2 linked regions of the Notamacropus eugenii genome follow. The main gene of each other region encodes a partner of the protein of the gene in region 2 in a complex. Links are inferred from orthologs where the notes say so. Each region holds a gene or a part of one and is shown on either strand. Other genes may lie near its edges.

Region 1 (8,716 bases), on a different chromosome or scaffold from region 2:
CTGTGACCCTGGGCGAGTCACTTAACCTCTGTTAGCTTCAGTTTTCTTATCTGTAACCTGCCTCCCAGGGTTGTTGGGAGGATCAAATGAGAAAATAATTCTAAAGTGCTTAGTACAGTGCCTGGCACATAGTAAATACCACATAAATGTTAGCTATTATTATTTTAGATTATTTAGGTTTTTGTTCCCATTGGCTTTAATAATATCTTCTTATCTCGGGTTCAGCTCTGTCCCTGAGAGAGGGTAAGGGGAATACTTTAATAAGGCTTGACTAAATCACTTTGCCTAGATGGCATCTAGAAGGAAATCCTCTGACCTTGAATTATGAAGGGCCTTTTGCAAGGAAAAGCCATTTCAGTCTGACCCTCAAATCTGATTGCCTGGGGCTTATACCAGGCACCTAAATCCAATTGTGACATGGGTGAAACCGAATAACCCATCTAACACCTCCCTTTCCCTTTCTCCTTCTGGATTTGGCTTGGTCATTCACCCGTTGTTAAGAGAACCCTTCCTCTTGGAAGAGGACAGTATCACTGATTTCTTAAGAATAGGTATTAATACCTACTGTGTATATGACTTCATTATAAATTTATTTTAAGTCATCTTCGCAGAATGGTAAATATCCTAAAAGACTTTTTCATCACCTTTTTACCCTCCTAAAAGTAAAGCAAGAGTAATGAGAAACTTCACTCTTGCAGTCAAAATATCTGACCAACCTCAGCAGCTATCAAACATGAATCAAAATGTAAAACCATCTCATTTTTCCCTAAACAGAAGCCTGAGTTCACCCTTGCCTCAAGACAAAGGACCAAAGGATAGAAACAGGAACTGAACCTGTGATTTCATGGGTCTAAGTAATTCCCAGAAAAGCAAACTCCCTCTACCAACCAGACAAGACTTCACCATCTTGCTTAGTCTGAGAGAAGTGCCAGTAAACGCAGAGGCTAGGTGACTTGCCCAGGAATAACCGGCCAGTTTGTTCGCATCTTCCTGGCTGTCTACTATGCCACAATGACTCTCCAACAACTAAAGATAAATATTAGGGTACTCTTCCCCTTGGGTTCCAACTTCCTGTCTTTTTTATTATTTTATTGGTATCTTGCATTTGACTTTATGTTCCAGCCAATGTTCCCTTTAAACTGTGTGCAAGCATAACCTCAAATGTCTCCAAGGACAATATCTCCAAGGACAGCTTTTATTTATAATAGTCAAAATGACTTAGTTGCTCAAATAAATACACATATTAAAAATAAAGTTTATACAAAGAAAGAAAAAAGTGATAGAATAGTCAAGGTAAGTGAGGCCAAATTTTCTTATAATTAGATTTTTATGTAAAGACACTCTACATAGAAGAATATCAGGCATGTCAGGTAAGTAAAATTTGTTTTTAACTGCCCCTTGTTTTCTATTTTGGCCCTTTCTCAATTAGCAGGATTCTTTCCAGACCAATTAAAATGAATTTAGTGATGTATAGTGTTAAAAAAAATGGAAGACACAATTTCAACTGAGCTGTGGCTAACAGGTCAGTAGAAGTAAAAGGAAAATACTACAAAAGGACGATGCCCTCAGCAGTCACCTCCAAACTATTTGATCCCACGCCTCTATTAGTAAAACGTTTTTGAGCATGACTCCTGAAATGCAGACATATTGTCATTACTTATATAAATACATATATATTATACCAATTTATATATTACAAACGAAACTAAATCTAAAAAGATGAAAGATATTTTAAAATAAATTTCACTTTATTAGTGGCACAAATAACATTTTAGTTAGAACAATATGGGTGAATAATGCTTCATTTTTTAAAAATCTTTGTTACTTTGTGATAGGTTCAGTTCTAATACTTGGTTGTAATGGCTGTCACAGATGAAATGGGAAGGATTTACAAACTATGTGGCGGTGTTCAGTCGTTTTTTAGTTGTGTCCAATCTTTGTGACCTCATTTGCCAGTATTTTTGACAAAGATACTGGAGTGGTTTGCCATTTTCTACTCTAGCTCATTTTATAAATGAAGAACTAATGCAAACAGGGTTAAGTGACTTGCCTAGGGTCACTCTACTCGTAAATGACTGAGGTCAAATTCCATGTCCAGCAGTCTATCCACTCTGTACCTCGCTGCACATTTGACACACTGTAATTCCACAAATCACCAGTCTTAAAGAGAACAGGATAATTGATAGGTGAAAAATGTATTGTTTTACTCTCCATTACTAACTCAACTCAAAAAAAAAAGTATCACTTATTAGAAATGTCTTTTCCTTCAAGAAATCTTCAGGTTTTTCCTCTGGTGTTAGTCTTCCTTCTCCAATCCCCTATCCCAATTTGTTTGAAACATTTTTTATATTTACTTATTTTTGTATGTGTGACTTCCCCCTCAGTAAAATGTAAGCTATCCAAAGGCAGGCCCTATTCTGCTGTCATATCTAATGGAAATATCTTTGTTTACCTCCTTCTCTATCATGAACAACTTTTGCCTATATTCATATGTTAGGAAACAAAAGCCTGTGAACACCAAGGGATAATCAGTGTCTACCCTTCTTTGAAAGGGCAGTAACTGTGAAACATCCTACCAAATGGGCTCAAAAGAGCAAAAGCCCACCATTAGTTAAGACATAGACTCATCTAGCAGCTTAGCTGTACTTGGAAGGTGACTTGGTAGGATTAATGATATGTAGAAACTAAATTCTATGACGCTAAAATTCTATGTAAAACCTAGTCTGAGACTACTCTCTCCAGCCCCACCCCAAGTTTCATCTAGTAGTGTCTGTACTTCTGTTTTTGCCCTATCTGTGAAGTAAATATCTCCTTGTAAAAGTTGATACTAAAAGGAATTAGAGTGTTAATTAATGGCGGCAAACTGAGAAAAACACCCTGGAATGGGGGAATCAAGCTGAAAGCATTACAGAAAAGACACCCCTCCTTCTCCCCCACTTCCAACCCTTCAGGGCTACCCATAGACGACCCCTGAAAGAAAAAAAAGAGATGGTAACCAGACTTGTTGTGGGAGATGAAGGCCAAAGTTCTGCTACAACATAAAAACTGAATCTATGGGAGCTGATGAGAAAGTAGTCCAGAGGGAGAGAAGAGAGACCCAGGGCAAAGTCTCACAACACACCCAAGATTGCTAGAGGATGAAGTCTGAACTTCCTGCCTTTCAGTCTACCCATGTTAATTACTACTGCATGTCAATTTCCTGCCTCCTAAACAGTTTAGCCCCTTTAGTTCTCAATGGCAGCAGAAAACAGAAGAATTTTGCCAGGATTTACTCTCTGTCATGAAAACAGAGCTCATCTTTTTAAGCAGGTAGAGTTAGTTAGAGTGGACCGAAAGGAGGAGAGTAAATGGAGGAAGGAAAGGGGAAGATGAGCCCTTAGGGACTATCTTGAGAGCAGAATTAGGTAAAGCAAAGATGACACATCATGAACTTTCCTTATTCCTATTTCTTCCCCCAAATGATATATCCCTTAGCACTTTCCTGAAACAAATCAACATTGGCTCTGTATTTCAGAATTAAAGGACTTACTGTGCCTCCCTCATATAAACAGAATAGACCCATCTCCTTCTTCCCCAACTGCTGTCCTAGGGAATTGAGGTATTCAGAATGAAAAATGAGGGGAGACACCAACTGGGATATAGCTCAACAAATTATGACATATGCATAGGTACCATTGTGCTGTAATAAATGACAAAGGAGATGATTTCACAGAAACCTGGGCAGGCTAATATGAACTGATGCAGAGTAAAGGGAGGAAAATCAGGACATTTTAAACAGTAACTAGAGAACTGCAAAAAATAACAACTTTGAAAAACTTAAGAACTATAATCAATTCAGTGAGTACCAATGATTCCAGATAAATGTTAAAGAACGCTACCACCTCGTGCCAGCTAAGGGATAGAGTCGGGGTGCAGAATGTGTCATTTTTAGAGCATGAGAATTTGATTTAGTTGACTATGTATGACGTTGCTATAGCTTTCCTATAAGAGCTTTGCTTTTCTTTTTCTTGGAAGGGAAAAAATAAATGTTTCTTAAGTGGAAAAAATTCTAATTAAAAAAAGGGAGAACTGCAGGGATGAGTCAAGATAGTCTTCTCTCCTGCTTTTTAAGGGGTTGAGGAAACAGGAGTAATTTATATTAACCCCACTGCCCAGGTATGCAGGGCATCTGACAAGCACAAAGCTTACTACTTGAATAACCCAAACCTGTCCCAGCTTCTGAGCATGCTCCATCTCACTGCAAATTACTAAGGAACTGCCATGATACTCAATTTCTCCCAGTTTTCATAACCATTGGTGATGTGGGGAGGGTTTACATGATATATGACCACCCAGCCCAGGGACCTAGAGACACAGTCAGTGTTTATTATCCAATACCAGGTTATCCAACAATATAGATATTCAATGTTAGAGCTAGGAATCAGACTTGTAATTTCATTGATACGAGGAATTCTAAATTGATAAAACTCCTTCTAACACTGTAGGTCAATATCTTCTGTGTAATGCATAGTATTAGAGAACTGCCTAAAACACTACGAGGTTAAGTGATTCTTCCAGGAATATTTGCTAATATGTGTCAGAACCACAACTTGTCTCAGGTCTTTCTGGCTCTGAAACCAGCTCTCTCATTTACTATGCCCCCTGCCTTATTAAATATTTGAAAAGTTTAATTTTTCTTATTTTATATAAAAATAAAATATAAATAGAAGAATTGAAAATATTTTAGAATAAATATAAACAGAATAAAACAGAATAGAAACAGAATATTTTCTTCCCACACACCCTAAGGACCACCTTCTGTGTCCCATTTTGACCACCGCTGCCCTGGAGCACAAGGAATTCCACTGAGAAAACATGGTTGAGGTATGATAATGAAGAAAACAAGCCTCTTGCCTTAAAGAAAGCATGGTTTGGGAGAAAACAATGAAAACAAATATTGACCTGAAATACTTTATTTGGCACTGAAAATATAATTTCCCATCCCATTTTTTCATACTTGCTCTGTTAGTAATTCAGTAAGAAAGAGAAATCAGACCTGCCTTCAGGGCCCTTTCCACATGAGTTTGTTTTTCTCCTACCTACAAGTGCACTTCCAGTTAATAGGCAAAGAGATGTGGTACAAACGAAGGATCATATCAAGGACACAGTGACACTGATGGCGACAGGAAGTGATAGCATCAGTGTATGGGCAAAAACTGTAAATTACTTTTACCTCTGTCTTCTCTCCCTTAGGAAGCCAATACTGTTAGTTCCCCCTAACCTATCAGATCAAAGACTGAAGCTAGATAAGTTTTTTTTTTTTTTTACTCATTAATGAATGAATAAAGTACACAGCATTGTACCTGATAGAAATAAAAACCCCCAAAAACTGCTTTGGACATAAGAAAATCTATCTGGAGATCACTAGCTTTCCTAAGTCACAATTCTATAGTCCAGTTAACCTGAGCAAACTCTATTTTTCCAGCTCATTTCCTCCTCATCCATTCTCTCTTTATCCATTCCATGTTCTCAAATGCCTCAGCATCCAGAGTACTTTCTCCACATGCTTCCTAACCCTTCCTCCATGCTACTATCTGTGACCAAAATCTGACCTCCTAGGTCAAATTATCTTGCTTCTGTAATATGATGTCAATTCAATTCAATAAACATTTCTTAAGGGCATACTCTGTGTTAGATACTGGGATGTGAAAATGAAAATGAAATATTCCCTGCCCTTAGGGAGCTGATAGTCTTCTAGTGAGAATACTGCTTATACACAGGTAAATACAAAGTAATTTGGGGGAGAAGAGCTCAAAATTCCAAAAAGGCTTCATTTAGAAGGTGGTATTTAAGCTGAGCATCAAAAGAAACTAGGGATTTTATGAGATAGACAAGAGAAAGGAGAGAATTCTAGACACATGGCAGAAAGGAAGAGACAAAGGCATGGAGATGGGCAATGAAACATGTATAGAGAAAAGAAAGTAGGCCAGTTTGATTAAAATGTAGAGTGCATGAGAGTGATTAATGTAAAATAAGTGTGGGAAAAGAGGCTGAAGATAAAGTGTGGAAGGGTTTAAATGTCCCCTCAAAAAAGGTTTTCTTTCCCCCCGGCAGCACTGAAGTTCAACGAACAGGGGCATGATATGATTGGGTTTGTGCTTTAGGAATATCAATATGACAGCTGTGTGAAGGGTAGTTTGGAGAGAGGAGAAATCAGCAGCAGGGAGTACAATTAGGAGGGTACTGGAACAGCTCATATGCCAAATGACGAGAGCGTGAACTGCAGCAGTGTCCATGGGGGCAGAAGCCATAGTGTGGTAAGGGACTCAATAAGAATTGGCTAGTGATTACATATGGTGAAGGAGGCGATGTCAGGGAAAATGAGTTGAGAATGATTTCCAAGGTTACTTACTTGGGTGACTGAAAGAATGGTGCTATGCTTGACAACAAAACATACCAAAGAGCGAGTTTATGTTAGTTTCTTTTTTAAAAAAGATATTGAGTTTGAGATGCCTATTCAGCAACCAAATGGAAATGTCTAGCAAGTACAGGACTGGAGCTCTGGAGAGACAGTTATATAGGAGTCATATGTGTAATGGTAATTTAACATTAGGAGCTGTGGAGATTAACCACAAAAAAGAACAGAGTGGAGAAAAGGCTTCCGGGACAGAGTCCACACATTACCTAAAATTTCATGTTTCAAAGGTCCTTTTATTTCAACATCCTGGACAGCTGGGGTCTTTTAGACTGAATAACAGGAACCAAGGACCAGTTGAAAAGTCTGGTTCATGGGTTCCTTGGGTATTATGGGGAAGAGAAAAGCATAGAATAAAAGGAAAAAATAGGAACCTTCAAAGAATCTCAGGTTCTGAGCTAAAGCTCTTTGGGAGTTAGAGCGAGGGTCTGTATTGTAATGAACCTGAGTGGTAATGTATATATATGATTATATAACTGCAAGTATATGTATATATATACATATACATACACACATATGCCTATAAATATGAATGTATATATACATATATTAGATTACCTTGTTTTATTTGCCCTTTTTGGGGGTGGGGAGTAGAGCTGAAGGAAATTGAACCTGTGATTTTTTCATTGCAACAAGTTCTTCCCAGAGAGGAAAACCCAGGATCAATGCTAATCACCACCACTCTACAATTTATAGTCTTAGAAGCTTGCCTGGGGACACGGTGAGGCTAAGGGACTGGTCTACTGTATGTGTCTTGAAGCTAAGCCTTTCTGGCTAGCAGCATTCTGTCTTCTATGTCATGCTTCCTCCCTTTATTTCCTTACAACACTAAATACTGTTCACATTCTCACACTGTGCAGTTTTTTGCTCATGTAAGATCTAATCCGAGATAAGAAAAAAATTTAATTTGTTTCAGGATCAAACATAATCATTGATTTAGTGGAATTTCTAAAACTTTCAAAAAATTAGAAGTTAACTACAAAACACAGATTGCCCACTATGGCATGCAGTTGGACAGGCCACCAATGAGTACAGTTCTTGGCTAGAGGTGCAATGACTTCAAATTGAAGTCATTCAATGACTCAGAATTAAAATAGGAAAATATAAGAATGAGTCATCATTTCAAAACCCAAAAGAATGTTCAATGATGACAAATTATTCCATGCTACCATAAAAGACCATCTAACACTAATATATTACTGGTAATAATTTATGGCATAAAATCATGAGCTTTCATCTGAGAAAGATCACACTCCATGTTTTAAAATCTGTAGCTTCTTACTATACTCAGTTCAAATGCCACCAGGTCCTAGTTAGGTCGTTCCTTGTCTTCCAACCCAACTGTGATTGGTTCCCTCACAACATTGCCTCATATGTACTTCCCCTAGGGGCAGCTAGGTGGTGCAGTGGATAGAGTGCTGGACCTTGAGTCTAGAACACTTGTCTCCCTGAGTTCAAATCCAGCTTCAGATACTTCCTAGCTGTGTGATCCTGGGCAAGGCATTTAATTCCGTTTGCCTCAGTTTCCTCATCTGTAAAATGAGCTGGAGAAAAAAAATGCAAAACACTTCAGTATATTTGACAAGAAAATCCCAAGTGGGATCATGAAGAGTTGGACACAACAAAACTGGCATCTGTTATAGAATGTATATGTCTTTAGGACACATTATTTTCAGTTACGTTTTTTGCACTCCCAACACCTAGCACAGTATCTGGCACATTGTAAGAGCTTAATAAATGCTTGCTGATTGAACTGTAGGTCATTAAAAGATGCATGATACAAATAAAGAGGCTATAAATTAGCATTGATATTAAATACTATAAAAGACATTTATGAACATGAATGACCAAAATCCAAAATGGTACGATCATGTAGTAAGAGACGGGTAGCCCACGTATTACACTAGACTTCACAAAATATTGAAAGAAGCAGAGGAAGATATCCAGTCCATTTGGTGTGTCCTCTCTGAAGAACCTACAGAGACACCCAGATAAGAATCAAGCTAGATAAGAGACTTGTCACTAGGTCAAAATCTGCAGAATTACTGATACAATGAAGATGTGGAGTAGAAGCTTCTCTGCTTACAAATCTAAGACACAAGCCAGTTCCTTTTAAAGGTTTTAAAGGAATCATGAATTTATTTGGAGGGAAATCAAATCCCCCACAAAGAAGGAGCTTTTAAAAAATATACTCGCTATTGTCATTCCAAACCACGTAGCTCTACTGCCAGAATCCTAATATTACATTTAAAAACATTGTCA
Region 2 (8,813 bases):
TTATTCCCCTTTGCTTATGGTGATCACATCAACTGGCCATGGATAGAGGCTATAGAACCAAATCCCACCCTTCTTCCCCACTACACTTGTATTGTGTATATATTCTGTATATGCTTATCTATGGTGGGGAGGGTATAAATGGCTATTCCCAGCACTTTGGGGCTTTAGATCCTGCATTGTCTCCACTGGGGTCCGAGAGAGACTGAGAGAGAGACAGTGTGTGTGTGTGTGTGTGTGTGTGTGTGTGTGTGTGTGTGTGTGTGTCTGTCTGTCTGTCTGCCTTTTCCCAGGTTTAGGAAAGTAAGAATAGAAGCATAGAAGTGAGAAAAAATAATCTAACTTGGCTAAAACACACAGTACATGATGGGAAGTTATATTAGGGAAGGCTAGAAGGGTAGCTTGGAGCCAGATTAAGGAAGAACTTGAATGCTCAGTCATTATTCAGGAGGCAAGGGACAGCCATTGTTGGGTTTGAAATCAGCCTCTTGCTTGGACCTGGTAGGCTATCAGGAACTCAGCCTGCCTTCCCCTACACTAGCTGATCTCTCCCCATTTGCCTAGATATAATCAATCAACAAAACATTTAAGTGCATACTGCTATGTGCTATACCAGTACTGCCCTAGGTTAAAAAGAAAAAAAATGAAACCATCTCCTCTCCCCTCAAGGACCTTACATTTTAAATACATGGTAATTTTTTTTTTAGGGGAAGGCAAGATAGTGCCAGCAGAGCAGGGAAAGCCTGCATGCAGATTTGGCTTGAGGTCATCCTGGAAGAAAACTAGGAGACTGAAGGTTAAAACCTGTCACACCCACCAGACCAACAGCTCCAGCCTGCCTGGTAGATATGCATGGCCCAATAGATTTGTGCCACAGTAAGGGGTTATTAAATACTTTTTCATTCATTCATTATCTCCCCTGATAGAATGTCAGGTCTATGACACGTTTGTCTTTGTAACCTCAGGGCTAGCACAGTGCCTGGCACCGTGCAACATCCTTTGCTAGTTCATCATCCATTTGGTCACCAAGCTTTGATTAAGCACTTACTATGTGCCAGATAGTGTGCTAAGTGCTTGGGTATACAGAGAAAACATAGCCCCTGTCCTCAAGGAACTAACATTCCAGTGTGAGAGACATGTTAAAAACGAGGTTCATAGAAGGTGTCTGTCTACACATAGTAGACAGAAGGTAAGCACTGAAAGCTCGGGGGACCAGGAAAGTCCCTTAACCTCCTAGACCTTTCCCGGGCATGATGGATAGAGTGCCAGGCCTGAAGTCAGAGTTCAAAAATCGGCCCCAGAAACTAGCCGTATCATCCCTAGCCAAGTCACTTAGTCTTTGTTTGCCTCAGTTTTCTCATCTATAAAATGGAGATAACATCTACCTCCCAGGGTTGTGAGGGTCAAAGGAGATAAGTAAGCATTATCTAAATGTTAGCTGTTATTATCCTATGCTTTCATTCTGGGCGATTTAATCAGCCACCCCTTCAGTTGTCACCTCTAAACAGATTATTATATATCAATTATATATATATATTAATATATATATTAAGATCTACGAATCCAGCTCTTACCTCTCTCCTGAGCACCAGGCTTGCATCAACAACTGCCAATTGATTATTTTGAACTCTGCATACACATCTGAAACAGAACTCGTTATTTCTCCTTTCAAACCCATCTCTCTTTAAACTTCCCTATTACTGTAGAGAACAGCGCCATCCTTCCAGACACCAATTTTAGCCACTTTGGTGGCATCCTCCGACTTAGTCACTCTAACTCTACATGTGCAACCAAACAACTGCCCAATCTTGCTGTTTCTATCTCATGTGTGCCCTTCACTCCACTCACATAGCCTAGATTACCCCAGTTCAGGTTCTTAACCCCTCTGTCCTGAAGTACTGAAATAACTTCCTAATTGGTTTCCCTGCTTCAAGCATCTCCCTACGTTTCACTCATCTCTGACTCCTGTACAAAGTTTGCACTTTCCTATCTCCCTGCCTTTAGGTTCACATCATCTCCTGCAAATGAAATATTCTTCTCTAACTCTGTCTTCAAGACTTGTTAAAATAATACCATTTATCCTTTAAGAATTGTCTCAAATGCTTACCTACTTACTCCATGAAGCCTTCTCTGGTTCCTAGTTGAAAATGATCTTCCCTTACCCAGGTGTCATATAGTTTGCACCCTTCTTATGCATGTCCTGTTCCATGATAGACTTGTGTGTGCGTTATCTCCTTCTAGATTAAAAACTATTTGAGGGAAGGGATCATGTAGCCAAATGAACCTTCATGAACAGTTATTGAACTACTCTGCTTATTCTGGTTTTTAGTTGCTACCATAGAGCCAAATTACTTTTAACCATAATAATAATGCTATTTTTAAATTTACTTTTTATCTTGAATTTATGAACACCGAAAGGGGGAGAGAGAAAACATTTCCATATAGTAGAACAGAAAAAATTAGGATTATGATAATGGTAATATTAATAAAAGCTTTCATTTGTGTACTGTTGTACATTTCACAAAGAACATTTACCTACAGCATCTCATTTGATTCTCAAAACCACAATATGAGGCAGGCAGGCAGGACAGTTAATTACTATCAATCCCTCTTAGAGATAATTCTCCTGAACCTCAGTTTTTTCAAATAAAAGTCTAAGGTCACACAATTAACAATTGGAGATAGATCTCAGATGAAGTCTTTTGATTCCAAGTCGAACTCACTTTCCATTACTCTACTTTGCCTCTTAAAGTACAGTAAAGGAGTGAATACTGGATTTATTTCATTAGTATAGGCTACTCCTACCAATATAGGTCAATATCTTCTTTGCAATTTCTAGTCTTGGAGAACCACTTAAGAGTACTGGAAGTTATTTGCCCTGGGTCACGTAGCCAATACCTATTTGAAGGCACTTGATTCTAGCACTTCCTGGCTCTAAGACTGGCTCTTTATTCCCTATGCCACTACAACTATCTTTACTAAATTAGATTTTATTTCTTAGAACAACATTTCTCAAGTTGTCTCCCCTGACTTGACTTGCTAACATTTTTTATACCTTCTCAAAGAAATTAATCAGGGGAATTTTGGTTCTATCTGATTCTTTGAACACAAGTGTTAATAACACTGTTAGAGGACTCAACCCTTCTTAGCAAAGGAGTAAAATGGAGAGACATGGAGAGGTTCTCTGAATAAATGGTGTTTGGAGTTTTAAAAAACTAGTTATGCATTTCCCACTGAATCAGAACTTTTAAGTGAAGAGTTCACATGTCCTCAATACATCATATAGACCACTGGAGGGGAAAACTCTCTGAAGTATGAATGCTTGTTACATCACAATTACAGTGATCGCCATGACGGCCATCAGAGCGTAAGCCTTACTTATTTCTCACCACAGATCTCAAGTATGTGGATGTGAAAACTGAGTCAGGGAAGCAAATGGCAACGAGGAACACCCCCAGCCCTAGGCCCATGCCTGTAGGAACTGCCCAAGGTGATCCTGGCGAAGCCAGTATGTTAATGAGCCTAGATGGGAAATCCATGGATAATGGGACACCAGCACAGATGAAGATGAAACCAAAGAAAACAAGAAAGGTCAAAGCACTAATTATCGACCTTGGCTCCCAGTATTGTAAATGTGGCTATGCAGGAGAACCAAGGCCCACCTATTTCATCTCATCAACAGTTGGTAAGCACTTCCTGGAGACTGCCAACTCGGGAGACAACCGGAAAGAAACCTATGTGGGACATGAACTTTTGAACACAGAAGTACCTCTCAAGTTGGTCAACCCTCTCAAACATGGTATAGTGGTGGACTGGGACTGTGTCCAGGATATCTGGGAGTATATCTTTCATTCAGCCATGAAGATCCTCCCTGAGGAACATGCTATTCTTGTTTCAGACCCTCCACTAAGTCCCAGCAGTAACCGGGAGAAGTATGCAGAACTGATGTTTGAGACTTTTAGCATCCCAGCTATGCATGTTGCTTCTCAGTCCCTGCTGTCCATCTATTCCTATGGCAAGACCTCAGGACTAGTAGTAGAGAGTGGTCATGGTGTCTCCCATGTTGTGCCCATTTCAGAGGGGGACATCATGCCAGGCTTGATAGGCCATGTGGACTATGCCGGCTGCGACCTAACCAATTACCTTATGAAGCTACTGAATGAATCCGGGCACAAATTCAGTGATGAACACCTACATATCATGGAGCACATTAAGAAAAAGTGTTGTTATGCGGCATCCAATCTGGACGAAGAGTTCAGTTTGCCCCTCGAAGACCTACGGGTGGACTATGAGCTCCCAGATGGGAAATTGATCACTATTGGCAAGGAAAGGTTCTTGTGCTCTGAAATGCTCTTCAAGCCTTCCCTAGCTGGTTTTAGCCAGCAGGGCCTGCCCTCCGTGACCGCCGCCTGTCTCAACAAATGTGAAGCCTCCTTTAAGGAGGAGATGATGGCCAATATACTCTTATGTGGGGGCTGCACTATGCTGGATGGCTTCCCAGACCGCTTCCAGAGGGAGCTGAGCCAACTCTTTCCCAATGACAGTCCCCTCGTGGCAGCAGCACCAGAGAGGAAGACTTCTGTATGGACTGGAGGCTCCATCCTAGCCTCCCTCCAAGCCTTCCAGCAGCTCTGGGTCAGCAAAGAGGAATATGAAGAGCGAGGAAATGCTGCTATCTACAGCAAATGCTAAGCTCCAATGAGGCCCAGATGCCCCAAGCAACAATGCCATGACAATGTTAACACATTACACATTTACCGACTTTCACATAAAGCTTTACCCTGAATTGCGTTGGTGGTGCTTTTGTCAGATTAGTTGGTAAGATGGCGGCATTGTGATAGTTTGTGGCAAATTGAGACCAGTAAGCCATAAGAGCTTATACTTCTTTGGTACTTTGAAGTCTACAAAGTGCTTTCCCAAGAACTTTTTGAGGGAACTAGGTAGTAAGAGGGAAAAGGGGGGGCTCAGGTGTTGTTGGTGTTAATAGAGTAATGATTTTTTTAATTTTTTATATAGTTTTTTAATTTTTACAAAATGTTATTTTCACAATAAAGAGGGGACGCTGGTAGTAGTGATCATAGCAACCATTTCTATAGCCCTTTAAATCTATATAACATGCTTTCTTCACAACTTGGGAGGGGTGGGAATAATCATTTATTTAGTATTTTAATTTTTACAAAATACTTTCTTTCCTCACAGTAACATCATGTAATGGATAGTGTACTAGCCTTGGCTTCTAGAAGACTAGGTTTCAAATCCTGTTTCAGATACTAATTCTGTGTGACCTTAAGCAAGTCATTTAACGTCTGTCAGACTCAGTTCCTCATCTGTAAAATGAGAGGGTTGCACAAGATAGCCTCTAAGGTCCCTCTGGCTCTAAATCTACGATCAAGTATTTTGGTTTAGATTCATGATTTTCATCAGTATGAGGAACTCCCTATTTGGCAACTCTCTCCACTGATAAAGATTGGTCACTCATCTGTAGACCATGGTTTTAGAGAAAGGTCTGGAGCATTGAGGTTATGTAATTTGCTCATGGCCAGAGATTCCAGGCCAGGTCAGCAGTGCCATTTCTGTAAGACAAGTGGTGTAAGAAGGCATCCTGAGGGGCCTTTGGAGCATGCCCAGAGTGACTAACATGGAACTGCTCTGCATCTCCTACTAGAGGTGAATGGATATAGCCTCCTCTGATTGGATGCATAACCCAAAAGGCTACATTTTTGATGCTGGCAAGACTAAAATGGCCGTTCTTTCTGACTCACTCTCTGTTCTGCACTCCCTGCTGCTGAATCCAGAGGGTGAAGATCACATTGTTCAACCACAGCTTTGATGTCATGACTTAAATGAAGCTGTGAGAGTAGAAAAATTTCTTCACCGGTACAACCTCTTTTTTAAGCTGACTCTGAGAGAAATGGGCTTGGTGGTGTTGGAGTTTGTACTAGTGTTAGGTGTTGGAGGTGATTCCCACCATTTCAACCCATGATGCCTTTCAGGGCAGGACTCCTGCAGAAGCTTGCAGCCAGGCTGTCCAACAGGAGACTAGAGAGGGCAGAGAACCTGGAATTTGAACCTGATGGGGGTTTTGGACTTGGAACTAGAGATTGGGTGTTTGTTCTGTAGATAAGTGAGTTAACTAATCCACTTCCACCCTCCAGAGTATGAGGTTGTGCTATAATGGTGGAGGTGGATTATGTTCCACATTTTGGGAGAGTATGTCTATCTATTTGTTATTATGCCTTTGAAGGAAACATTCCTTTGCAAAAGCTACTTTGTTAGAGATTAAATGGAACTGCGCAAGAGGGGGTACCTTTGGTGAGGGGTCAGAACTGATTGCAGAGAGCCTAGAAAAACCCCTTCACTTCTCCTTAAGAAGGGTACTTGAGAACCCTAGGGGAAGGACAAAATATAACCTACCTAACCTTCAGGTAGTGAGGGCCCGAGTAATAAATGTTACAGCAGAATAAACATTATTATTTCTATCTGAGGTAACTGAGACCTACAGAGGTGAAATTACTTGCCCAGGTCACACAGGTTATCAATCCAAGGCCTGGAATCCAAGGCATCCAACTCCCAGGAAACCAGAACTTTTTCTAATGTAGTTTTTATAATCTCTTTGGCTATATGGCTTCATGCTTATGAGGGAAGTATAGAATGTTTGGATTAGGATGTAACATGTCTGAACCTTGAAAGCATGGTCTATTGCTGTTAGAGCCTTTGAGTTATTAAAGAGAAGTAAGCTTATTATGCAATAAAGACTCTGAGCTTGTTAGGTGACTAGACTTATGATAACAAAAACAGTTTTAGAAGTGTTTCCTGACAGAAAAGGCAACTATTTTTCGTCTGAGTCCTTTGGTGTTAATTTGCATTGACACAGGCCAAAGTGGAAAGGATTTGTCCGATATTTTGGAACTCAGAACCTCAGGCTTCTGATCATCAGTTCCATGCTCTGCTTGACAGGGAAAAGCTCTTGGACCCATCCTGCTGAGCTGAGGGATGGGCTCCTGATTGGAATCTAGGCACAGAGAAGGGCAAAGAGTGATGAGAAGAAGTCAGGGGGAAGAAATAAGCCTTAGGTCCCCTAGATGGGGTCAGAAGCATAGATTCTCTGAGGGGAGTGGGGGCATGACATCAGGAAACAGACCTTAAGGTAAAATCAAGAACAGAAGAGAATGAAATCAGGTTGCTGAACCAAAATCTGAAATTCCTCCAGCTTTTGGTGCAGGTTCAAAAGAGCTACCTATCCCTTCTTCTCTCCTCTCATATCATTGAGACATCTTTACCAATAATCACCTTCACTCCAGATGAAGACATAGCCTTTTCCTTAACAAGGTCAATTTATCTACATGCTCCTTTAACCCTATCCCCTCCTTAACTTTGCTAGCAAATTACCTCTACTATCCTTTCAACTCCATCTTATCATCCTTCTCCATATCTACTGGTTTCTTCAAAGCTTTACAGTCTGACTTAAGATTTCATCAATCAACTGAAATTACTCTTTCCAAAGACACCAATAATCTCTTAATTGCCAAGTATAATAATAATAGCCTTTCCTCAATTCTTATCCTTCTTGACTTACCATTGGTATTTTTATACTGTAGATCAGACTGTAATCCTGGCTACTTACTGTCTGACCTCTCTCAATTTTTTTGCTTGATTTTATCCAAGTCATGCCCAACTAAGCATGGGTATCCCCCCAAAGCTAGGCCTTCTCTTTTCCCTCTATACAATCTCACTTGGTTATCTCATCAGCCTCCATGGGTCTTCTTATCTCTATGCAAACAATTATCAGATATGTGGGTGCAGCCTTAGTCTCTCCTGAATTTACAATTTTGCATCACCAACTGCCTTTTTTAATGTCTCAAACTGGATGTCCCATAGGCATCTTAAACAGAACATGTTCAAAACAGAATTCATCATCTTTTCCCTCTTCCTTACATCAAGGAAAACTTCCCTGACTTTCCTATCAAGGGCACCGCCACCCTCCCATTTACCCGTCCTCACAACCTCTTATGTCACCCTGTACTCCTTACTCTCATTCACTTACTCCACATATCAAGTCTAATTTCAAATCTTAAAACATCTCTTGTATACTTCTCCATTCTCTCCACTCATTCAGGATCTCATCACATCACCTCTCTCCTGAACTATGGCAATCGTCCTCCAACCTTATCTTTCCCTACTCCAATCTATCCTTCACTCAGCTGCCAAAGTAGTTTTTCTAATGTGAAGGCATGATGGTGTTCCCCTCACCCCATTCATTGGGCTCTTGTAGTTTACTGTTCCCAACAGCATCAAATATAAACTCTGTTTGGCATTTAAAGCACCCCACAAGCTGACGCCTTCTTACCTCCCCATTATTTTTATTATTTTTCCCACCACCATGAACAATATAATCCAGCTACATTGAGGGACCTAGAAGGACACTCCATCTCCCATCCCCATGCCCTTTTTACTGGCTGTTACCTATGGCAGGAATGTTCTCCCTACCTACCTTTGCCTTTCAATTTCCATAGTTCCCTTCAAGATTCAACTTAAATCCTACCTTCTACAGGAGATCCTAGCAACTAATGCCTTTCCCTCCCATTTTGTACATACCTAGTTATTTACATGTTGCGTCTTCCTCCTGTCCCCCTGGATCCTCGACTTGTGGACATGGATAAGGCTTTTTTTTTTTTTTTTTTTGCCATCCTTAGTATCCCCAGCACTTCTTAGCATTGGCACCTAGAAAGTGCTTAATAGAAGTTTGTTGCCTGACTGGACTTGTTCCTATAATCTTTCCAAATCCCACTCCTAGCAGAGTATTGTGCATGTTAATT

The links.
Region 1: the proteins of ACTL7A (region 2) and TES are in contact, whole or in part, in a crystal structure (PDB 2XQN), measured with the Homo sapiens proteins. The link is inferred for Notamacropus eugenii from reciprocal best matches to the Homo sapiens genes ACTL7A and TES. Residues at the interface, in NP_006678.1 of Homo sapiens: Leu28, Gln29, Thr30, Ala31, Ser32, Leu33, Arg34, Asp35, Gly36, Pro37, Ala38, Lys39, Arg40, Ala41, Val42, Trp43, Val44, Arg45, His46; in NP_056456.1 of Homo sapiens: Asn311, Glu312, Tyr313, Thr314, Gln315, Ala316, Glu317, Leu323, Phe326, Leu335, Ala336, Gly337, Glu338, Ile339, Tyr340, Val341, Tyr353, Pro370, Glu371, Val372, Gln373, Arg374, Val375, Thr376, Tyr377, Ala384, Phe389, Leu398, Ile399, Gly400.

Annotation. Positions count from the first base shown.
Region 1 is NC_092874.1:136,989,218-136,997,933, forward strand, and holds the start of TES (testin), read right to left. Parts: upstream 3,637-8,716; 5' UTR 3,563-3,636; coding exon 3,530-3,562; intron 1-3,529. UniProt on the Homo sapiens protein: Scaffold protein that may play a role in cell adhesion, cell spreading and in the reorganization of the actin cytoskeleton. Plays a role in the regulation of cell proliferation. May act as a tumor suppressor. Inhibits tumor cell growth.
Region 2 is NC_092872.1:63,656,833-63,665,645, forward strand, and holds the start of ACTL7A (actin-like protein 7A), read right to left. Parts: upstream 3,275-8,813; 5' UTR 3,053-3,274; intron 2,247-3,052; 5' UTR 2,105-2,246; intron 1,639-2,104; 5' UTR 1,572-1,638; intron 1-1,571. Other genes in the region: ACTL7B (actin-like protein 7B), read left to right, coding at 3,433-4,689. UniProt on the Homo sapiens protein: Essential for normal spermatogenesis and male fertility. Required for normal sperm head morphology, acroplaxome formation, acrosome attachment, and acrosome granule stability.